3 linked regions of the Ovis aries genome follow. The protein of the gene in region 2 purifies or fractionates together with the protein of the main gene of each other region. This does not show direct contact. Links are inferred from orthologs where the notes say so. Each region holds a gene or a part of one and is shown on either strand. Other genes may lie near its edges.

The links.
Region 1: the proteins of PRKAR2A (region 2) and AKAP9 purify together in Homo sapiens (affinity purification with western blotting; 3 studies listed by BioGRID, with this or other methods). This does not show direct contact. The link is inferred for Ovis aries from reciprocal best matches to the Homo sapiens genes PRKAR2A and AKAP9.
Region 3: the proteins of PRKAR2A (region 2) and AKAP8 purify together in Homo sapiens (affinity purification with western blotting; 3 studies listed by BioGRID and IntAct, with this or other methods). This does not show direct contact. The link is inferred for Ovis aries from reciprocal best matches to the Homo sapiens genes PRKAR2A and AKAP8.

Annotation. Positions count from the first base shown.
Region 1 is NC_056057.1:10,029,168-10,037,161, forward strand, and holds the start of AKAP9 (A-kinase anchor protein 9), read left to right. Parts: upstream 1-3,590; 5' UTR 3,591-3,822; coding exon 3,823-3,870; intron 3,871-7,994. UniProt on the Homo sapiens protein: Scaffolding protein that assembles several protein kinases and phosphatases on the centrosome and Golgi apparatus. Required to maintain the integrity of the Golgi apparatus. Required for microtubule nucleation at the cis-side of the Golgi apparatus.
Region 2 is NC_056072.1:51,130,500-51,138,613, forward strand, and holds the start of PRKAR2A (cAMP-dependent protein kinase type II-alpha regulatory subunit), read left to right. Parts: upstream 1-3,652; 5' UTR 3,653-3,944; coding exon 3,945-4,197; intron 4,198-6,449; exon of another isoform or gene 6,450-6,683; intron 6,684-8,114. UniProt on the Homo sapiens protein: Regulatory subunit of the cAMP-dependent protein kinases involved in cAMP signaling in cells. Type II regulatory chains mediate membrane association by binding to anchoring proteins, including the MAP2 kinase.
Region 3 is NC_056058.1:7,591,702-7,599,879, reverse strand, and holds the start of AKAP8 (A-kinase anchor protein 8), read right to left. Parts: upstream 4,881-8,178; 5' UTR 4,821-4,880; coding exon 4,802-4,820; exon of another isoform or gene 4,101-4,801; intron 1,912-4,100; coding exon 1,873-1,911; intron 431-1,872; coding exon 398-430; intron 1-397. Other genes in the region: AKAP8L (A-kinase anchor protein 8-like), read right to left, coding at 5,281-5,598, 5,688-5,783. UniProt on the Homo sapiens protein: Anchoring protein that mediates the subcellular compartmentation of cAMP-dependent protein kinase (PKA type II).

The sequences.
Region 1 (7,994 bases), on a different chromosome or scaffold from region 2:
GAGTCAGACATGACTGAGCAACTGAACTGAACTGAACTGAATTAGCCTCCAATTAAAATTAATAAATTGAAATTAAAAAATTAAAAAATTTTAAAAAATGTGTTACACTTATAGCATATCTTAGTTCAGACAAGCCATGTTTCATATGTTCAGTAGTCACATGTGGCTAATGGCTACTGTGTTGGACACCATGGCCCCAGATGATCTCATCCAAGCCCTCACCTTAAAATGCCACCTACATGCTGATTATTTTCAAATTGATATTTCTTGCATGAACCTCTCTTCAACTCCTGACTCAGATAACCAGAGCTATACTTGACATTACTCCTCAAATACCTAATATATGCCTCTAATTTATCAAGTTCAAAACTGAACTCGTGGTCTCCTCCAAGTTTACTCTTCCCCAGTTCAGTTATTGGCAACTCCATCATTTCAGTTGCTCAGGACAAAAACATTAGAGTCAACTTTGACTCCTCTTTTTATCTCAACTTTCATATGCAATCTGCAACTCCTGTGGCACTCTTAGTTCCCTGTTTAAGATATACCCAGAGTCTAATTCACTACCACTACCATTGTCCAAACTCCTAGTTATCTGTTGTCTAGATTATTGCAATAGCATCCAAAATGATCCATAGTCCAGTCTGCTCTTAGCCAGATGTCCTTTAATAACATAATCCAGAACATTTCACCTATCTGCTCAAAATTCTCCAATGGCTCCCAGGCTCACTTAGTGTAAAAGCCAGTCCTTAAGGACCTTCAGAACTCTACAGGATCTGGCCTCCTGTTACTTCTCTGATCTCATCTCCTACTGTTTCCCTCCTTGCTCACTCTACTCTAGCCACCCTTGCCTCCCGCTCTTATCAAGACAGTCATGATCTAGCTTCAGGATCTTTAGACTTGCAATATCCTCACCTATCTCCACGGCTCACTCTCTCATTTCTTGCAATTCTTTGCTCAGGTATCTTGTCAGGATATGATGTGAATGAATGATAGGACTTGAATAGTTGCCAGAAGGAGGTGTTTGAGCACTAGCGCCACATATTTGCCCTTCTAACAGAAGTCAACATGCAACTTTCAACCTTTACTGAGCACCCATTATATATTAATATAAGACGAACATGTATGATTGGCTGGTCTTAGTAACAGGAAACACTGAAATGATCTTATTCCTTTAAAAGATTCTTGAACATTTTCAGCGCATACTGGAACAAATATTTCTTGAATGTTTTCAGCACATAGTGGAACAAACAAGTGAATTCCTTAGTTATTGAAAAGCAGCATCTATTAACAAGCAGGAACAGACATCTTGTCAGATATTATAGGGCTTCCTCCTCCTAGACAATCAGAACCGACAAACACAATCCCTCTGTCCAGGCAGTATTTAAATCACTGCACTATTAGAACACTTAGTTCCAGACCTAGTTTTACTCTCAGCTTGGCGGGTGACAATAAATTATCTCTTTTATTATTTGAATTATTTATTTCCATGATAAAATGCTTAATCTCATCCACTTCTCAATTCAGGTTAGGAAAACAGGACAATATATACTTGGGTGTTACAAGCTGCCACAATTACATATGCATTACAGGGTCTGAGAACAAAAAGTCTTTGTCTTAAATCTAAGAATGTCTGCTGCTGCGGCTAAGTCGCTTCAGTCGTGTCCGACTCTGTGCGACCCCATAGACGGCAGCCCTCCAGGCTTCCCCGTCCCAGGGATTCTCCAGGCAAGAACACTGGAGTGGGTTGCCATTTCCTTCTCCAATGCATGAAAGTGAAAAGTGAAAGTGAAGTCGCTCAGTTGTGTCTGACTCTTGGCAACCCCATGGACTGCAGCCTACCAGGCTCCTCCGCCCATGGGGTTTTCCAGGCAAGAGTACTGGAGTGGGGTGCCATTGCCTTCTAAGAATGTCTAAATCGGGACTATTCAAAACTGGTCTTCCGTTTGTGGTAGATTTAAGATCTTTGCTTTTCTTCTTTTTCCTTTTTTTAACCCAAATTTCACTCAACACCACTTGTATGATTTAACGCATAGCTTATTCCAGTTCACACATACTAGTTTTTCAGTCCAGCCTAACCCAAAACAAAGGAGAAACATGATCAACTAGAGAAATTAAAAAGTGTAGTTAGTTCATCCCAGGAATAGATTTGAAGGTAAGATGATGGGGAAGAAAAAGGAAGTAATGAGGGAAGATATGAAAATAAAGGAAGGAGAGTCATGCTAAAATTATTAAAATGGCTCAATTCAATCCAACAAGTGTTTATTGAGTGCAAAGCATTTCCCTGGTCTTTTTAGTAATGCCAAGGTGAGCAAGACAATCTTTGCCATTAAGGAGTTGGGAGTAGGAGGTGAAGTAAGAAGGGCAGCTGCTGCTGCCGCCGCCAAGTCGCTTCAGTCGTGTCCGACTCTGTGCGACCCCATAGACGGCTGCCCACCAGGCTCCCTCGTCCCTGGGCTTCTCCAGGGAAGAACACTGGAGTGGGTTGCCATTTCCTTCAATGCGTGCATGCATGCTAAGTCGCTACAGTCGTGTCCGACTCTGTGGGACCCTGTGGACAGCAGCCCACCAAGCTCCTCTATCCACAGGATTCTCTAGGCAAGAATACTGGTGTGGGCTGCCATTTCCTTCTCCAATTAAGAAGGGCACAAGTTGTTATTAAAACACAGAGTACATAAAGGAAATACAGGGAGAAGAGAACTGACATTAAGGATATTTTGATATGCCAGGGGGAGTCACATACGTTAACTCACATATGTTAACAAGCCTTCCAAAACTTCCAGGTAAGCTAGAGGAGGATAGGTAACTTGTTCAAGGTCATTTAAGTGAAAAAGTCTACACTGGCTTTGTCTTCAACCCAGGTTGCAAAGCCTAGAGCCTTTCAGGGCACCATAGCTAAGGGGAAGCTCGTGGGAGGAGATTGAGTTAAGACAGGAGGAAACAAAGAGATCAGAAAAGCTATTCAGGGCGGCGAGTGAGGTGGGCCTCGAAGATGAACAGGCGATTGGGCAGCCTCATGTGAGGAAAAAGGGAGGCACTTTCGGCTCAGGAAGGAGTGAAGGCTACTGGCCGCCCTGCCAGTCCTCCGGGTTGACCAGTCAATCTAGGCTGAAAAATTGTCATCCGGTGGCTCACTTCTCCAACCCAATCCCTTCTTCGCCCCCGTCTTTTCCTTTGGGGCTTTTCAGCGTTCACCAGTTTCAGCGTTAGGCACCTGTACTTTCTCCTTTGCTCTGAAACTGGAAAAATCTCAAATGTTCTAAAAAGGACCACTGAGTCCCTTGGACGACGGTGGGGGTCCGACCGGCGCTCCTGACACAGCGCCCTCTCTCCCACCTCCTCAGCCAGGCCTCCACCCGCGGAGCGGCATGCGCCCCGGGGAAAGCGTGCTCCCCCGAGAGCCGGGTTTCCGCCAGTGGGCGCGGCGGGCGGGAGGCCGGGAGGGGGTCGCCGCGGTGGCCGCGGGGCCGGCGGGGCCGCGACGGGCGGGGCGGGGCCGCGGCGGGGCGGGGCGGGGCCGCCGGCGCACCTGCCCGGCGCGGCGGGATTCGCGGCGGCTGCGCAGACGACGTGCTCCCCCCTCCCGTTCCGCCGTGTGTTTACGTGGAGACGAAGATGGCGGCGGTGGTGACGACGCGGCCCGTGCGGCTGAGGACGGTCAGCCAGTGAGCGCGCAGCCTGGTTCCGCTCCGGGAGGGGCGAGCGCCCGGCCCGGCCCTGCGCCCTGCGCCGCGGAGCTTGCGGTCCCACCCCCGTTGGAACCGACCTTGCCTTCCCGTCCCCGACCCCCTGCCTGTGTTCCCCCCAGCCTTCCCCGCAGAAGCTATGGAGGACGAAGAGAGACAGAAGAAGCTGGAGGCTGGCAAAGCCAAGGTGAGAGAGCCGGAGGCCGCCCGGCCTGCGCTGGGAGGCGGTGGCCGGGGAGGGCTGGCAGGGGTCCTGCGAGGCGGAGGCCTCAGCTTGGCAGCCCCGGCGCGCTGCCTGGGACGGAGGTGCGGCGGCGTCTGCCGTCGCCTTGCCCTCGTCTCCCTTTTCTAATTGAAAAAGCCTGGTGAGACACTACCTAGCGGTTATTTCCGTGATGACTGGGTGGTGTGGCTCCTTTCTCGTGAATGCCCACATAAAACCTCTCCTTTTTACTGTATAAGCTGTTACAGCTTGCTTCTGAATCTCCAACCTTTGACTTGTTTTGAGGGAGTTTTCTGGGTTGTGCAGACATTGTGCTTTTCAGGGTGGGGATTTGGGGCTCTTCTTTATTCGGGTGGGGATTTGTACGCTCATCATCGGCTTGGCTTTCTTAGGTGGCACGCTGGCACTCTTGAGTGTGTGATTGGCCTGTGACAGCTGCCTCAGTCGTGGCTTGAGTGTGCCACAAGTGCCAGCTGTGAACTTCGCTGTAGGGGCGTTTTTAGAAGCATGGCTTTGTATGTTTGTGTTCGGAGGTCTTTGTCACGGCATGCGCCCTGTATTGTGTGGAATGTTACCGCAGTCTGTGAATGGAACTTACGGGGACGAAAGGGTCCATATTCCTAGCATCACCTATAGAATTCTTGCTTTCTTGTCGAGTCCCTATCTTGTATGTGTGTATGAAAAAGACTGTAAAGGAAACAATGGAAAAGGTTTTATTATTCACTGGGTTTCATGAACAATTTGACATAGACGAAATATAAATTAAATATAAATAGAATATTAATAATATTAAATATTAATACTATTAAAAGAAATAGAATTTAAAATTACTTGCTTGAGCATATTTTTTTGACTGGCCAAAAGGACCCCTTCCTCCCTATGATGAAATTACAGTTTACTGTATATTGTTTTATTAGAGATGATTGTTCACAGTCATACTTGCATCTCAATTAAATTATAAATAGTTTAACTGTTTCTTTTCCTCTCTGTCTCCTCCCTCCAAATAAGCAAAAGGAGACTGGGTCTGATTTCAGTAATCACTGAAGAACCACACTGCAGAGATACAATTGTAGATGCTGAACATAAGTTTCTTGACTTAATATAAATGTATAAACTATCTCTGTATTATCTAAGGTCAAACCTTAAGTGTTTGTATCAGGTAGATTGTTATTAGGATCTATACACAGGGAAAGGAAATCAAGGCATCTTTAAGATCTCACGTTGCTTACATTTCTGCAGTCTTGAGGATCTGAGCACAATCTATGAATCGAAGAAAGTGGAGGAAAAGTGTGTACCTCCTTCCAAAAGCATTGACGTTGTAGTTAGACGTTTTGTTTGTTTGCTTGTTACCTCAGTATTTTTACTATCTGCCTCCTGAAGTATCTCTCCTAAATATATATGAAGCCGTCCAAAAAACATAGTTTACTTTGGACAACACCTCTCATAACAGAGGACTTATTTAAATTGCTTTGGTTTGGCGAAAAAGAATTCTAGTTTCTTTGTGTGTATGTGTGTTTTTTGTCTTTCAAAATTCTGCCTATGGTATAAAAATCTTATCCTTTTAACATTCACTTTCATTGTGGAAGATTATCTTCTAGAATTGAGCTGAATTTTTCTAGTCAGAAAAGAATTCAAGACATGTAAGGCAAGATGTGTTTGCTGGAGCATTGGCACCAAAATATAAAAACACTGGGCAACCTCCAAAGACAGTGTTAGGAGAATCACTTTCTAAACTATATTATTTAAGCATGATAGAATATTTTTCAGCCATTAAGGTTACGAGGGCTGATAGGAACATGAACAGTAAGAACATGGACATAGTTCGAAAATAGTGTATACATTACTTCTTTTGTATAAATGTATGCTTTTATATTAGGACTTAAAAACTTTGGGTTGTGAGTGTAGGGTCGTTACGCAAACCTGTGTCAAACTCCTGTTTTACACCAAGCGCTGTAAATACAGAGATGGTGACAGTCTGTTTTCTGAAGTTGCTCAAAGTTTAGCAGGACAGATACTGGGTACTAAGTACAGTGAGGGAGGTGGTATTATAGAATTTGTGGCGAATTGTGTCATTTGTTAAAATGTGTTAAATGTTGCTGCCTCATTTTTAAGACTATTTTACAAAGAAGGTTCTTGATAATTGATATTTAATGCAGTCTAGCCTGACACCTATCAGATAGTAAGTATGCAGTAAATATTTGCTTAGTGAATGAATGAGCAGAGTGACCGTGAGCTGTTAATATGTGCTGCTTGACTAGCATATTGTAATTTAATAACAGTAATTCAGAATTCTTGTCATTGGAAGTCTCATTGCTGGCATTAGAGATCACTGAAAACAACCATTTCTAAAACTTTATTCAGATACTTGGTTCTCTGAATGTCTTGTTTGTTCATTGAATTTAAATACTGTATTTGCTAATCTAGTTTTACAGACCACAACTTGGAAATTTTCTTCTTGGTGTTTGGTAAACTATTCATTGAAAAACTTACTTCCTTTCTGTATCTATAAATGATCATTTTTAAAATGACCTGTTGTGAATTCAGTATAGTATACTTTATAAAATGTGTTACACCAACCAAAATTCACAATGTTAGAAGAATAAATTTGGTATGTGCGCTGTGCTTAGTTGCTCAGTCATGTCTGACTCTTCGCAACCTCACGGACTGTAGCCCACCAGGCTCCTCTGTCCATGGGATTCTCCAGGCAATAATACTGGAGTGGGTTGTCATGCCCTTCTCCAGGTGATCTTCCTGACCCAGGGATCAAAGCCAGGTCTCCCACATTGCAGGTGGATTCTTTACCGTTTGAGCCACCAGGGAAGCCCAAATTGCCATATATGTAGCCATCAAAATAATTCTGCAGAAACATTCTGATTTGGGAAAATGCCCACAAATAACACCAGATTGATAACAATGTTACCAAAAAAGATATATATACAATTTTTATATATGAAGACACCTGAAAAAAAATACACCAAGATATAAATGATGGGTATCTCTGGGTGGTAGGTTATAGGCAGTTTTAATTTCCTTTACACTCCTAGTATTTTCCAGATTCTCTGCAGTATATTTCCTTTATGACCAGTAAAAATGTTTACATGCCATTTTTGAAAACAGTAAAAGCTTATCAATTATAGTATGTTGAAGAGAATGTTAATATTGTTTGATCGTTATACAGAACAGGAAGATGAGCCCTAGGGTAACTAGGCTTCCCAAGGGCCCTGGCATCAGTGTAGTTCTGGAACTACAGTTCTTACTCCAGTGCTGTTTCCATTCTGTAGTTGGGATTCTCTGTTATTAGACATTTATATATCTCCTTTCTGGTTTTGTAGATCTTATGCTTTTTCTCTGTCGATTCTCATTGCCATGAACATGCCTATCTCCATCTAACCTGCCTCCTCCCTTAATTTGCTGTTTTAGATTTCCTGTGAGTAGCTTGAGGGGATGGTTTCGTTTGTAACAACCAAGCACTGATGGAGCCTTGTGAATGCGCTTTATGACTATTTCGTTTCTCTGCTCCTTGTTGGTTTTTTCATTTGCTGTTGGGTCCTCAATTACTTCCTCAGTACTGAGGTAGTAAGACGCATGACCTGTGGAGACATGAGACATTACTGCATTAAGTAAATATTTTCAGAACCAGGCTAACCTCGTTGCAAGGAGCTGACAAGGACAGCGCTACACAGGCCGTCCTTGTGTTGATCCAGACTTCTAACTCCACTTGAAGTGACTTCAGTTTTTTCCAAGTAAAATTATCTACAATTTTTTGGAAAAGAAAGTGTTGTAATATTAGCAAACAGAATTAGAGGACAGTTGTATATTTAGTGTAAAATTACTTCTGCATATTCACAGAATGTATACTTTTTAACATTCTACTAGCAGAATTCTATAAAACCACAAGTTTTTATTAGCTATTCAGCATTTAATATAATTGGCATTGTTGAATAATTATAAAAATTTTTGCCTGTTGCATTCAGTAAGTAATAATTATATGATTGTTTAATGAGGATTTTCCGTTTGAAAAATAGTGCTAGTTCTATACAAAAAGGACAGTGCTCTCTGCAAGTTGTGTATTAGGTTATTGATAATAG
Region 2 (8,114 bases):
GGGCAGGGGGAGTGGTGGTCATAAATGGCTCACAAGTGCAGAAACAAGCAGCCCAAGAATTAACTGCTCCTTTGAGCATGGCTGCTTATTAAAGTAACTGGACCAAAGGCAGTGGCTTCATGGGAGAGGCACTATGGAGGCTTGGGTGAGGGCAGAGGAAACAGTGTACTTCCTTATTCCCCTCTGGGCACTGGAGGCTCGTGGACACTTCTAATGCAAAATAGAAACAGGTGATGGTAGACACTAAGTATGAAGGGAGACTGGGCCAGGGGACTGGTATGTAGAGTGAGTCAGATGAACAACAAGTCCCAGGAGATGGGTGGGGATTGGGCTAGGCTTAGAGAAGCAGCCCCTTGGGGCAGAGGAGAGGGAGGTGTCCCTGCTGGGGGTGAGTCCTCCAGACCAGGTGGAGGGCATCAGAGGGCAGACAGTGATGCCCTCTGTCTGCATCAGGGGGTCTGGGCCAAGAGCAGGGTGTCCTCCAGAGAAGTCTAGGGGACTATGAATGTCTCCCTTCTTCCTGGAAAGAGTCGGGGGGGAAAAAACCTTTTAAATCATGAACCTGTCAAGAGCACAGGAAATAACTGTTCCATTGGAAATAGCAGTTGGTACCCTACCCATGTTCATTATCACCAGACTCACTGCTCTTAGACTAGACAGGTGCCCCACTTGACTAAGCATCAGTTCAGTTCAGTCGCTCAGTCATGTCCGACTCTTTGTGAACCCATGTATTGCAGCCCGCCAGGCCTTCCTGTCCATCACCAACTCCCGGAGTTCACCCAGACTCACGTCCATCGAGTCTGTGATGCCATCTAGCCATCTCATCCTCTGCTGTCCCCTTCTCCTCCTGCCCCCAATCCCTCCCAGCATCAGAGTCTTTTCCAATGAATCAACTCTTCGCATGAGGTAGCCAAAGTACTGGAGTTTCAGCCTCAGCATTATTCCTTCCAAAGAAATCCCAGGGCTGATCTTCAGAATGGACTGGTTGGATCTCCTTGCAGTTCAAGGGACTCTCAAGAGTCTTCTCCTAAGCATAGTTGTAAACAATTCTGAGAACTGGCCCCATGGTGTCCATGTCTGTTCTGAGGTTGGTAGTGTGGCAGCCCGCGCAAAATGATGACTACCTTCTGGGTGGTGAGTATATCTGTGTTGAGTAGAGCATCTCGCAGGACTCTGGGGCCTCCTCTTCTGTCTACCATGGTCTCTGTATTTCTCTTGCTTTCAAGGGTCTCTGCTCTTGACCTTTCCCACCCACCATTACTGGCTGTTGGCAGCTGTTTCCCAGTTACTGGCTGCCTTCGGGTTCAGTTGCCATGGTAACCCCCAGTGGTTCCGGTGGACAGGCTTGAATGAAGGCAATCCTAGAAGGGTGAGGATCGAAAATGTGGGGCTTGGGCCTCTCTTATTCTCTCTTGTTCCAAGGCCCTGTTCTTTTGCCAGCTCAGCTGGACCCTCATGAAGGCCCTGGGAACTCCCCCTTGCTATTGAAGGGTTTCCCCAGAGGGTCAGAGATGGATCCCAGCTCTGAGGACCAGGTGCAAGGGGAGGAGAGTCAAGCTGGACCTGGAGGCTGGCTCTCCATCCTTCCTCTGAAGCTGGTCTTTGGAGACAGGTGAGGAGCAGCTATGCAGTTCCCGATTTCTGTGGTCCTCATTTCCTCCAGGTCTGAAGATGCCTTTGACTGCCATGTTTGCTAGCTGGCTGGCCGGCTGGCTGACCAAGCTAGGGTATCTGAGACTAAGCCAGGAGGACCAACCTCCTTCAGGCAGGGGCTGAGAGGGGGTCCTTGGAGTGACTGAGAGAACCTGCCCACAGTCAGTTCTGTCGTTAGTCCTGGAGTAGCTTCCTCTTACCCTGTTTGCAACTGAAGTTGGAGTCCTGATTGTATAGCTGCCTTTCCCCCTTTCAAATGTATAAAACCTGACAAATGGGAAAACTAGAGAGTGGAGTTGCGAAGTTGCCTTTCTAAAAGGTTAATGGTAGGATTTCTTGAAGTAGGTCATATCCCCAGGTGTGGCAGGGCAGTGGGAGTCCCACCTTGGTTTCGAGTATGGGCTGACTCCTGGAAAACTTGGAAGGGTCAGTCTACACAGGAGCAGAGGCGAGTTGAGGAACCCTGCCCCTCCAGCTTCTCATTGCCCCGTCCTTACTGAAGTCTTTATATTCTGAGATCAGACACATAGCTTTGAATCAAAGGATCCTAATTCTGAGACTGAGGTCAGGAGAGCAGTCTCACTGGCTCTTCTTGCTGTGTGAAAATTTATTATTCATTTATTTAGTAAATCTTTAGCAAGACTGCAATAAGGACCCCAGCAGGGAATGAGCTGGACACTACTCTTCCCCTAACAAAGTTGATGGTTCAGAACTTCTCCCAGGAGTCAAGAAACTTGTCCAGGGAGACACTGCTCTTTGGAATCACAGACTTGCCTGGCCTGGGGGCTGGGTGGCTTCTGCACCAGTGGGGATCAGGTATTCCTGCTTCTAGATGCTCAGTTCCCAGCAGCACTGAGCTCCTGGATGTGTGCCAAGACAAAATGAGAGGTCCTAGTGAGGATTTAATTAATACTGGATAATTACCAGGCAGAGCTTAACCATCCCAAATGCCTTTCAGATTCCCAAGGCTATATCTAGTCACTTTCTGACTTGGCCCAGCAGAGAGACAGGATGCTGTCCCATGCTTACTGGGACTTTGGTCAGCACCTGGGCTGTGTTATGAACACACTGGGAAGGTTTCCACTTTTTTCTCTTCCTTTGCAATCTGCTGTAGGTGAAAGTGCAGCTTGGGAAATAGCATGGCCTCTCCAGATTGCTTAGGCCCCTTCCTAGGGACAAAGGATAACAGTGTCTTGCCATCTGCTGAAACACCATCAAGCAATGCTGGCCCAGGGCCCAGGGTCCAGGGCAGAGTATGGGGAGAGAATAGGTGTGCAGACCTAGTCCTGGGAAGCCTGATGGGAACCCTCAAGCAGAGAAACAGGCACAGTAGTCCTTCCTGCCCTAGGCTTTATTCCTTTTTCTCAAGGAACATATTTTCTAACTCATTTTTCCAGATTTATCTGCCTGTGGCTCCCAAATTATTATACCATCGAAACTCCTACTGTCTACAAGGCCTTCTTTCTTTGACATCTCAAAGACCTCCTGCCAGACTTTAGAGGGTCCTATGGTCATTCCACCATGCCACCCAACGGTCAGGGTGGTTGTGACTTTCCCTGGTCTTCACTCTTGTTGTCCTCTATGTCCACATGGCTTTCCTCTGGCTCTTCCTGTGGTTAGATCCTGCCCAGGTCTCGGAGTCAGCTTGAATGTCACCCCCTAAAGAGGGTCCCCTTGTTCTCCACCATATCTGGAAGCACACCGAGATGGTAAGGTGGCATTCTTGCCTGTGGCTCTCAGCTATGTCCCTGGTACCCAGTAAGCGCGGGCAGATGGTTGGAGCTTAGCGTTTGCTGAAAGAAGAAATGAAAGATAAGAGGCACTAACACTCCGCTTAGCGGGTAGACCTCTCATCCTTGCGCCTGGACTGAAGATCACCAGGGTAGCCGGGCGAGCAGACGGCCCCTTGGCGCAAGCGCACTGAGGGCCGGCGCTCGGCGGGAGCGCGCACGCTCGCGGCCGCGTGCGTCACAACCCGGGCTCCCGCCCCGCCCGTCCAGCTCGCCCGCTCGTCGGTGCCCGCGGCGGCGGCGGCGGCGGCGGCGGCGGCGGCGGCGGCGGCGGCGGCGGCTGCCCAGTGACAGCGGCGGCGGCGCCAGGCCGGCCGGAGTAGCGTAGGGTGGTGGGGCCCGGAGACACACACCCTGCCAAAGGGCGGCGTGGCGCGAGGAAGGCCCGACCCGGGTCGCGCGTGAGGAGACCTCGCGGGGCGCCGGGCGAGAGGCCGGCGTGAGGGAGCGCCCGCCTAGGCGGTGGCCGCCGGCGGCCCGGTCCCGCCTGCCGCCGCCGGCATGAGCCACATTCAGATCCCGCCCGGGCTCACGGAGCTGCTGCAGGGCTACACCGTGGAGGTGCTGCGGCAGCGGCCACCAGACCTCGTCGACTTCGCGGTGGACTATTTCACCCGCCTGCGCGAGGCCCGCTCCAGAGCCTCCACCCCGCCCGCCGCCCCTCCTTCCGGCTCCCAGGATTTCGATCCCGGCGCTGGCCTGGTCGCCGACGCGGTGGCGGACAGCGAGTCGGAGGACGAAGAGGAGTTGGACGGTAGGCGGCGGGCTGGGCAGGGGTTCGCGGTACGGGGACCGAGGAAGCGGTGCCGGGGGGCGAGGGTCTCTCGAGATCCAGAGAGGGGCTGCGAGGGGCCAGGCCCGCCACCCTGGGCCGGGACCTTGGAGCCCGCGAGGGGAGTTCGTCCAGGTTCCCCAAGCCGCCGGCGTGAGCCACTTCCAAATTGAGCTCGGCGATCCTGCCAGCCCCGGAAAGCAGCGAGCGAGTTGTCAGATTCAGCTCGAGGGAAACGTGCGCGCTTTCGGCCCGCGTGCTGGCGCAGGGCCGGAGGGGCGTGGAGCCCACGGCCGCCTCGGCTGGAGAAGCTTCGCCCGGTTTCGTTGCGAAGACAAGAACGTTCGCCTACACCGACTCGAGTTTCCTAACCAGGACGGTAACTTGGGAAAGAACTCATTTTGTGAAAAGTTATCGTGCAAACTTTAAGCGTAGACAGAAATAGAAAAGGTGACCTGAACTCCCTGTATACCGTCACCCACGTTACACAGTTGAAATATCTGTCACAAATGTTTCATCTCTCTATATATATTTTTTCTCCTTTGCTGAAGTATTTTAAAGCAAGTCCCAGCATTTCACGTTCTTTCAGTCTTGGATACTTCAGTATATGTATAAAGATATATGTATAAAGATATATTTAATTTGCCTAAAATCACTGGATCAAATGTGGTGAGGGTCAACAATACATTTTTTTCTCATATGTGGTGCAGGAAAGACGACTAGTAACACCTCTATATCTGATTTAAGCAAGATTGTCAAAGAGGAATTCCATTTTCCTTGATGGCTTCAACACAGACTTTGTCAGTTTAACGATAGAATTACCCTAGTTTTGAACAGCCAGAATTTAACAAAACAATGAAAACACTTGAGAGACAAAGTTAGAGACTTAGTGTTTACTAGCTCGCACTGAGAAAACCCCCAACAACCTAGTTTTGAGTTGAATCCGCATGTAAGTTAGGCTGGCAGGGAGTTAATTATTGGTCATTGCTATTGCAGGTTGTAAGGTTCAGTGCCGTGGACAACTTAGTTTATTCACGCTAAGAATGGAAATTGTTCGGCCATGTTACCCTGGCTTTAATACACATTAAATTATGGGTTTTTCACCTTAAACCTGGAAATCAGAACTTATTTCACAAACCAACCCCTGCCACAGAATTGCTTTGTGGTCTAAGATAAGCCATGGAACTTGTCTGATTTCAAATTTGCTTATCTTTAAAATAGGGTTAGTGACCACAATCTCCCAGGAATAAATGTGTTTTTAAAAGGTTTATTTCAGAAGTGACTTCTGCATTTGTTTCACTGTCATAACAATAAATCACAAAGTTGTAACTTGCTTTGCAACAATATTTACCCCAAATGTTATTATTTTAGTTATTAGTCACAGGTGAGTAAAACAGAATTTCCAAGTTTTGTGTCATGTCTTCATTTTTTGGTCATTTTTTATATATTTTTCAAAGTTGAATTGACTCAAATCTTTGTAACCCTGTGCTTTATTTTACTGGTATTTAATTTTTTTGTTTATATCTCTTCAGTGGCTGTGCTAAGTATAATTATAGCAGTCAACACAAGGTGAACTTCTGTTTACAGATAATAGACTAAAAATACACTGCACACAGTGAGATACCACTTCATAACCATGTGGTTGGCTATTATGGAAAAAAAAAAAAAAACAGAAGAGCAAGTGTTGGTGAGGATGTAGTGAAATTGGAACTCTTGCTTACTGCAGGTGGGGATGTAAAATGTCCTGGCTGCTGTGGAAAACGGTTTGACTTTTCCTCAAAAAGTTAAACATAGAATTACTGTGTGATCAAGCAATCCCACTATGTGTATACCCCCAAAGAACTGAAAGCAGGGAGTCAAACAGATACTTGTATACTGGTGTTCATTGCTGCATTAATTCACAACAGCCAAAAGATAGCCCAAGTGTTCTATAGACAGATGAATGTGTTATATATACAAGCTGTGGTATATATGTACAATGGCACACTATTCATCCTTAAAAAGGAATGAAATTCTGATGTATACTACAGCATGGATGATTCTTTTTTTTTTTCCAACAACGTTTCATATTTATTACTGAGTCTCATAGACTGATAGTGAGGAAACAAAGACCATCAGGAGCCAAGTATTACAGTAGTGATGTTCTTTTTTTTCTTAGTAGTGATGTTCTCACTGTGATTTGGCTGGTTAAAAAAGTTGCCTTAACATGTGTGCCACTTTTTATGTGAGGCTTCTTATAGACCCAGCTTGGTTCTTCTCCAGTGTCTTCTCTGGGAATTGTACCTGATCTTATTGCCAGTTTTCATTTGAATCCATTGAGGAATGGGCCAATTCCGCTTTTGTTTCTTGGCCAGGAATCACTTGATCCTGAAAGTCTTGTGAGATGATATGGTGAGGAGAGAACTCAACCGCACATAAGATGGCGGAGAAGAGAAAAGAGGAAGAGCGTGGATGATTCTTGACGACATTATGCTAGTATAATATGCTAGACACAAAAGGACAGATATTGTATGAATCCATTTATATGAAGTACCTGGAATAGGCAAATTCATGGAGACAGCGGAATAGATTACTAGGAGTTGGGGAGAGTGGACAGTGGGGAGTTACTGTTTAATGAGGGCAGAGTTTCTGTTTGGAATGATGACAAAGTTTTGAGGTTGGATAGGGGTGATGGTTGCACAACGTTGCAAATGTACTTAATACCATGAATTGTACACTTCAGTGGTTGAAATGGTAAATTTTATGTTATGCAGAAAACATATATTTTTGAAAAGATAAGAAATACTAGGATTAGGATGACCGAAAAGTTCATTCGGGCTTTTCTGTAACATCATACAGAACACATTGCATATCCAGAGATTAGGAACATTAGGATAATAAGTCCACAGTACCTAAAATTAGAAATAGGGTATATAGTATGAGAACCATAATATATCAGAGACTTTATTTAGTAGGGCTTCCCTGATAGCTCAGTTGGTATAGAATCTGCCTGCAGTGCAGGAGACTCCTGTTCTAATCCTGGGTCAGGAAGATCCCCTGGAGAAGGGATAGGCTATCCACTCCAGTATTCCTGGGCTTCCCTAGTGGCTCAGCTGGTGAAGAATCCACCTGCAGTGCTGGAGACTTGGGTTCGATCCCTGGGTTGGGAAGATCCCCCTGGACAGGGGAAAGGCTACCCACTCCAGTATTCTGGCCTAGAAAATTCCATGGACTGTATAGTCCATGGGGCTGCAAAGAATCGGACACGACTGAGTGATTTTCACTTTCACTTCACTTAGTAAGGTCCTGAATGGCTAACCACCAATTCAGTTTATGAAAGTGTATGTTGCTAGAAACACTCAAAAAGCTTCACTAATTGTTATTGGTTTAGTTTAACAACAGTTTGATATCAAACAACACATCAAATATGAAGTATTAGAATGAATATTTCATTCTTGGGAAAGCCTGAAGAGTTCAGACTTTCTTGACTTATTAATAACTTACTCTGACTGCATCCTCATAGGAATAATAACTTGGCATCTAGACTTGATTCACTTCTGTAATTACAGTAAAACATATTTGTGGGTCTCAGCATTTTTTTCTTTTTTGGATTTTGGAGACATAATTCATATACCACATAATTAACCCATTTAAAATGTTTAGTTCATTGGTTTACTGTATCTACAAGATATGTACAACTGTCACCACAGTCAGTTTTAGAACATTTTTATCACCCCCCCCAAAAGACACCCCGTACACTTCAGCTATCACCTGCCCACATCCCTATTCTCCTCAGTTTTAGACAATTACTGATTTCCTTTCTGTCTCTATGAATGTGCCTGTCCTGGCCAGTTAATTTAAATGGAATCATAAAGTATATGGTCTTTTTGCTTCTGGCTTCTTTCCCTTAGCATAATGTT
Region 3 (8,178 bases), on a different chromosome or scaffold from region 2:
TGCCCCAGCACTGCACACGTCACCTGCCAACAGGTGGCAGGAGGGCACGGCCTCAACTCTGAGCGGTGGGTTTTCTATACCGAATCATAAGACTTGGTTCTCATCCAAAGCCAGAGAGCCCAGGAGCTGGCAGTTGGAAGACTGATGGACCCACCAAAGAGCAGACCACCACCACAACCCTCCCTACCCCCGACCTCCAGCAAGCTCCCTCGGAGGCCTGCCCCAGCCCTCCCCCGCTGCCCCCAGCCCTCCCCCATATCTCAGACCCAGTCTGCTGAGGCTTCAGGACAACCATGAGCACACCAAGGATGGGAGATGGGGGTCCCTGCACCCCAGCCCCTCGAGGTAGCTGGTCAGAGGCCTACTCACCCACCCACAGACCCCTAGAAGGGCGTACCTTGCCAGCTGGCCACACCAGTTCCATATGTACCTTAAATTAGAAGAAACAAAAACATACAAGATTTCGGTTTACAAAACGAAGGCATCTGAGACGTAGTTCCTCACCCCGACCCCAGCCTAGGCACTGAAGGACGGTCATCACCTCACTCCACTATCCACAGGGCCAGAGCTGGGGGTGGCTAGGTCAGTGTTGCAAGGAGGCACCCTTGGTTGCCCACTGAGGTCAGGAAAGGTGGGGTCCACTAGCTGTAAAACTCATTTCCTACAGAAATGCTCAGCTAAGCGTAACCAGGGCATCTCTCCTAAGGAAGCTGTCCTTTAGGGCAACAGAAAGGACACTACAGTCTTTTTCCGGGAAGCTCATCCAGCGTGGGCCAGCAGCGAAGAGGCTGCCAGGCCAGGCCCCCAGGCAGAGCTGTTCCAAAGTGCCAGTTTCACCAGGCGCCAGATCTAAGGCACCGCCAACAGCACGGAGTGCACTGGTGGAAAATCACGTCCCCAGCTCAACTGAACAGGGGACATCGTGTGCCTGGGCAACACACAAGGCCTCCTGCTGGGACACTAGGTGATGGGTGGAAAAGTGACTCAAAAGCAACCCTGCTGCCAGTGGTGCAAGGGCCAAGTTCCAGGCTCAGAAAACAAAGGAAACCTTCAACCAATCCCCTGGAACAAATGCTGGCAAAAAGCAGAAAACCTCGCCCACCAGAGAGTACATTCTAGTTCTTCAAACACACTAAGTACCAGGATGGGGACTCCTGAGCCGGGTCCATGGACGGGCCTAGGGCCAAATCCAGTCCACAGCCCTGTTTTTGTAGGGCCCACAAGCTGAGAATGGGTTTTATGTTTTTAAACGGTTGGGGAACAAACAAATAAAAAAAGTCAAAATAATACTTCATAGCATGCAAATTCTGACAAAAGACACATTTTCGTATCTGTCAAAACTCACAGAATTGTGCAACAGAGTAAAAACTAATGTAAACTATAGACCATACATTGTATGAACACTGGCTTATAAACTGTAACACATTCTGCTAACTATAATAATAAAGGAAATTGTGCCTGAGTCGAAGATAGACTGTGAGTGTGCATATGAAGTTCTATGTACTATCTGATCAATCCCATAAGCCTAAAACTACTGGAAAGTATTATTTATAAAAATCTTTGGTTATACCCTCGACTATTTACTTAAGATAGAACAAAAATTGTTAAAATAAAGACTGTTTGATGACATAATGGAAATCACATGGTATGCAAATTTCAGTGTCTTTATGTAAACATTATTGGCACACAGTCCTACCTACTTGTTTATAAACTGTCTATGGTGGCTTCTGCACTATAGAGACCATATAGCCTGCAAAGTAAAAAAATTTACTATCTGGCCCTTTACAAAAAAGGCTTCCTGGTTCCAGCTATGTTCATGCTAGTGCTGGGGGCGGGTAGCCCATGCCTCCCTGACAAGCAGGTCTCACTTACCCTGGGTGTTGGTAGGTCCAGCACTCCATGCCCCATAACCTGTGAACATATTTGTGAGTTACAGTCATACTTGTCACACCAGAGAACAAGTGCTTCTGAGGAGCATAAAGGAATCTCCTTGAAGGAGATGAGTGCCAGTCTTACAAGAAGGCAGCACAACCACAACAATGCCCCCCTAAAAGTCATCCCACAGCTGGCTTTTGCATTATCACACTCCACCTGCCTGAGGTCAAAGCAGAAAAAAGAGGAGGGGGATGGGCCTCTGCGCCAGTTTGGTCCATCGCTTGCTGAGGGACCTTGACCTAAGCCTCAACCCACAACTAAGGAAGACACAGGACTAGCTACCAGCTCACTCACCATTAGAACACAGTCCCCACCCCCAGCCCCCTCAGGCAGCCATGAAGTGAAGTGAAGTGAACTCGCTCAGTCGTGCCCGACTCTTTGCGACCCCATGGACTGTAGCCTACCAGGCTCCTCCCTCCAAGGGATTCTCCCTCCATGGGATTTTCCAGGCAAGAGTACTGGAGTGGGTTGCCATTTCCTTCTCCAGGGGATCTTCCTGACCCAGGGATTGAACCTGGATCTCCCGCATTCCAGGCAAACGCTTAACCTCTGAGCCACCAGGGAAGAACCGCCTAACTGGGAATAAACTTTGACTATCTGGAGCCAACAGCTGTGTCTCTGCAGGCCTCGCTTCTTTTGACTCTGAACTCTCCAATGCTCCTCTGGGCCTTGACGTCCCAGGGCTTCAGCCTGGTCCTGAGGCATCAGATGGCATTCCTCTCTGTAGTGGCTCCCCCGGCCCCTCTGGACACTCCCATGACAGCATCTATCTGGTCCCTCTTTACCTGTGTTTCCAGCCTGACACTGAGCTGGGCACAGGCAACCTTTCATACCTGCCAAATGACTTCACTTCTGCAAAGCCTCCTCTCTCTCAAATACTTCCCTTCTCTCCTACCAGGACTGGAGTAGGAAATGGCAACTCATTCCAGTACTCTTGCCTGGAAAATCCCATGGACAGAAAAGTCTGGTGGACTGCAGTTCGTGGGGTTGCAAGAGCTGGACGTGAGTTAGCAACGGAGCATGAATGTTCCTACCAAGACAATCCAAACCATTAGATGAATGCCTACTGTATGCCCACACGAGACTGACACTCAGCTGGTGAGCCCAGAATGCCATTCAGAGGGAGCTAGGGAGCTAAGGCTCAGACGTTATGGGACTTGAACTGAAGTCACCCTGCTGAAGGTTATCTCCCGTCACACAGATTTCCACGTCTATGCAGCAGAAAAGCAGAGCAGTGATTCTAACAGCAACTGACCAACTCTGTGGAACTGGTCTAACTAAAAAGCATAAACCATTCACATAACCTCAAGACCCTTGAAATAGGTACTGTTCACTCTGTGGTACACAGGGGTTCCAGAGGATAAGTCACTTGCCCAAGAACATGTTAAGGAGCAGGAAGAGGAGGACTTGGACCCAGATCGAGGTGCCTCCGAGGGCCAACGAGCAACTCTTAAACCGCAACAAGTCTTAGGAAATAACTCTAGGTGGAAAAGCTACAGAAGGATTCTGGGAGGCCGCTGCACCTAAACCGAATCTGAAAAGGTTTTCTGGTAGGTAGAAGGGGAGCAGGGTGTAAACCCTCTAAGCTAAGAGCACAGGTAAGGCAGGATTATTACTAGCTGGAAAATCTGGTTAGGGAAGCAGGCAAAGAAGGGTGAGATCCAATCTGACTGCCGAAAAGACCAGAGAACCAGGCTGAACCACTCAACGACCTTGGAGACACCCGGGCACACCAGACACCAGGACCGTTCTGCTTCTGCTGCTGGCCTCCTGCTAATGCTGCCCTTTCAAAACACGCGCCTTCCCTGCGGCAGCCAAGATCTGATCGCCCGTGTCTGAACCTCATAAGCCAGGACAGAGATCCGCGCCGGGTCAAGCCCAGTCCTGCATATTCCAACTATTCCCTGCAGGTAAACGCGGCTTCCAGCAAGCAGCAAAGGCCTCCTAGGAGGCTCAGATTCCAGAAACAGAGCAGGTCGCTCGAGGTCCGTCCTGCCGCAGGCCCTGAAATCCAAGTGGGTAAAGGGCACTTTCCACCTCACACAGCCCCTCTGGCGTCTCCAGGCCACCACAGACGACAACCTTTAGGAGAACCACCAGTCTGTCACGACCCCAGAGCACATAGAGTTTCCAGGCTTTGATCAAGAAGGTACCCCGCATCTGACCCTCAGTGTCTTGTCCCAGATGTGCTTGAGCCAGGTCCGCGACAGTCGCCCAGTGAGGCTGATAACCGCAGAGGCTGCACTAGGCCCGGCTGCTCTGCACCGCCCGACTGGCGGCAAGGGGTCCGAACCTGCGCCGCCCACACGGCCTTCGGGACCAGCGCCCCAGACCTCCTGTGCCACACGGAGGCCCCAGCCAACCCCGCAGGTTCCCAGACAGGCAGGCACGACAGCTCGGGAAAAGGCAGCGATCCCGTCTCGGTCCCAAGCCACAGACCCCGCGCGCCCCACGAGATCCCGTCATAGCTCCGCCTCCCGGCGCCGCCATTTTGTGGCGTCTTCCGAAAGAGACACCGGGCCTGCGAGCGGCGGGGTTCGGCAGGGCCCGGCCGACCCAGCCGGGGGTGAAAAACTGAAACTGCGCCGAATGCCTGAAGCGCCCCCCGAAGTCCGCCCCAGCGTCGGGCCGCCGAACTCGGCCAACGTGCTCAGGTCCTGTCGGCCAATCCGCACGCAGCGCCCCGGGAACGACAGGGCCGAGGTCCAATGAGCTGCGCGCGCGCGCCCCGGCCGCCTCTCCACCAAGACCGAACTGCGGTAACCGCGCTCGGGTGTAGTCTCCGGCCCGCGGCCCCCTGCACGGCGTCGGAACTGTGCCGGGACACCACCTTCCCGCCCCACCCCGCAGAGTCGCCCACACCAACCTCCGTAGCCCTGATCCATGTCTTCAGCTCCGCCCGCCAAGCAGCTCCTTTTTCTAGGCTATCACAGGACGCATGCGCTCAACGCACTTCCCGCCGTCCTCTAATGGTAGACCAGGCGCATACGTCACCCCTGCTACGCGATACCATTGGCCGTAGTTCACGGCGGGCCCTCCTTTATCACCCCGGCTGGCCTTCCGGTTGTTCCGGGTCGGTGTTCATAGCTTGCTAGTTTTGCTCCTGGGCGCTGTGCCTCACCGCTCGCAGGCGTATCCATTCTTTTCGCCGCCAATGCGCAAACCTAACCCAACAGCCCCAGGTCGCACCCGCAGACACACACAGCCCAGCGGTGAGGCCTGGACCCCCGCCCAGGCGGACCGTGCAGCACACAGACAAAAGACGACGACGACGAGGTGGGATGAGACGAACTTTTATTAGACTCAGCTTGCAGCCTCGGCCCCGCGAGCCCCGCCCGCCCCAAGTCATGGAGCGCCTCCTCCTCCCTCCTCTTCGTCGTCAGCCTCCACGTCGAGGCCCGGGATGCCTCGGATCTGGCGCTCCAGCGCCCCGCCTAGTAGGGGCACGGCCTCCTCGTCCTCCTCCGGGGGCGGGGGCGGGGGCGGGGGTGGGGACGCGGCCCCGGGTACTGGCTCTGGAGGCACTGGGGGCTGAGCCGGCACGGCCTCTGCACCCTCCGCGACCCCGGCCGCTTCAACCAGCGGCCCCTCATCAAGGACACCTCCCTCGGCCTCCTCTTGTTCCTTCTCCTCCTCTGGGCTGTCAGTGAAAGGGTTCTCACCCTGCGGAGAGGGGCGCGACATGAAGAAAGGGAGAACCCGCGGGGTCGCGGCTGGGGACTGGGCCGGCATGCCAGGGGCGTGCACCTCACCTTCAGATAGCGCTCCAGTTTCTTGCTGATTAGCTTGTTGTTTAGGATGCTGCGAGCCACCATGAGCGAGGACTTCTTAGACTGCTCCATCATGAGCTGCGGGCAAGGCAGGCAGGGCTGCAGAGGCTGACCCAGGCATTCCAAAGAAGCCTCCCACCCTCACACCGCCGGATCGGGTAGAGCCCAAACACACCCGCGCACCTCTCCACCTCCACCTCGGGACCCAGCACTGCCAATGACTACAAGCAGACTGCGTTAGGTCTGTAAGTGGACCCTTGAGTACAAGCGTGGGTTCACTCTACAAGCATGGAGCCAAGACCCGATTTGATCTTTGCTCCAATGGTCCATCTTTCCACGCCATACTTACTGTAACTGATTAAAGTCATGTCTTTACAGCTGTACTGCAGCGATCTGATTTGCTTACATAAAAATTTATAAGCAGTGAACAAACACTAAAAACCAAATGTGCAACTCCTAACAAGAGGGCAACTGCCCTAAAACACACACAACTCTGCAGGATAAACAGGGAGGATATAAAAGCAGGAAAAGAATGTCAAACACTATGTTTAAGTGATACGAAAGTGTTAGTTGCTCAGTCGTCTCCGACTCTGCGCCCCCATGGACTGTAGCCCCGTCAGGCTCCTCTGTCTATGGGATTCTCCAGACAAGAATACTGGAGTGGGTTGCCATTCCCTTCTACAGGGGATCTTCCCCACCCAGGGACTGAAACCAGGTCTCCCACATTGCAGGCAGATTCTTTACGATCTGAGCCACCAGGGAAGCCCTTAAGTGATATACATCCTTTTAATCCATAAGATTCCCAAGATAAAGAATTATACCCTCAAATGTAAAGGTTGAAAAGAGACACTTAACACTCTTGGTGAGAGGCTCAAGTGTTTATTTTCTGAAAAATCATTGTGATAGTACTCATTGGTAAAGATTCTGATGCTGTGAAAGATTGAGGGCAACAGAGGATGAGATGGTTGGATGGCATCACTGACTCAATAGACATGAGTCTGTGCAACTCTGGGAGATAGTAAAGGACAGGGAAGCCTAGCATGCTGCAGTCCATGAGGTCGCAAAGAGTTGGACAGGACTCAGCGACTGAACAATAATCAAAAGTAAAAATTTTCTCAGCAATTCCTCCAGGGAGTCTAGCCTAAATTTAAAATTGGGAACATGCAAGTACACTGGTTGCAGAGGTGAAAAATTGGAAAGCACCTTAGTGTTCTTCAGTGGAAAAGTGGTTACATAAACCAGATGTTCAGAAGAACACCATGCAGTCTTAAAACAGGGCTTCTCTCTCCCCTGGCATAAAATGTGTGATGGGACAGAGTGCGGAGCATGCCAGTGTCTGGGGCAATTTACACCAAAATGCTACATGATTTTCTCTGTGAGTGAAGGCAACTCTCACTTCCATCATTAACGCAAGTAATGGGTAACCCAAGTATAAAGCCATAAACAGAAAAAAAAAAGCTATTTTTGGAGGGGTGGGGAAGCTGACCTTTGGGACCTCTACTCAACCCTAGCCAACTCTTTACATCGGATTTCAGAAAATCACTTCATTTGTCTGTTTCTATTCCCTTTCCCCACCTTCATCTTTTTTCGTTTTTACTTGGGGAAAATAGTCCTCATGTATGCTCAAAATGAAACAAGTTAAAGATGCACAAAAGAAAACTGCCTACATACTGGTTTCCCCTGGTGGGGAATAAAAGGGATAACCGGTTCTAATCACAGCTGTAGTTGCGGGGACTTTAATCTCTGGAGCACTTACAAGGCTGTAGTAGAAATGGATATCCCGTGGATATATTATATGTTAAATCATGTGTTATCTGTGGAATACGCACTCTCAATGTGCACACCATTGACTACAGCTACAGAAGTGTTCCTTTAGCTGTGACTCAATTTTCTCTGGATAAGGGCAGAAACGTGTCACATTCCATTATTTGTAAAGTCAACAGCTGTTTGCTTTTGTCGCTTTTGCTACACTCACGTTCTTTCTATTCAGGTAACTCAAGAACAAATATACAAAGATGCAATAAAAGTGAATTGCTTGATATCTATTACTTCATGTATATCAAGCACAGCAATAAAACAAAAATCTCATATGTTTAAATTTTAGGGTTTTTGCTTTTGTGATTTTTTTTAATATACTTGCCTAACATGATGTGCTGTAAAAAAATAGTTAACATGGAAATAACTTGAGATGATGGCTTTGTTTAATGTCTTATGAGATTTTTATGAATAATCCAAGTATAATGTGGAATAAAAATTTTATGAATGGACAAAAAAAAAAAGATGCACAATTAGGATACTACTACATCTTACTTGCTGACACACTACCCTTCTCCCTCCAGGTGCACAGACGGACACACCAGAATGTCTCCTGACTGAGCAAACTTAACATAGTTTTGAGATTTTTGCTATAATAACCAAATGAAGGATATACTTAAATATTTCCATGCTAGTGCTTTTAATCCTACTAAACACG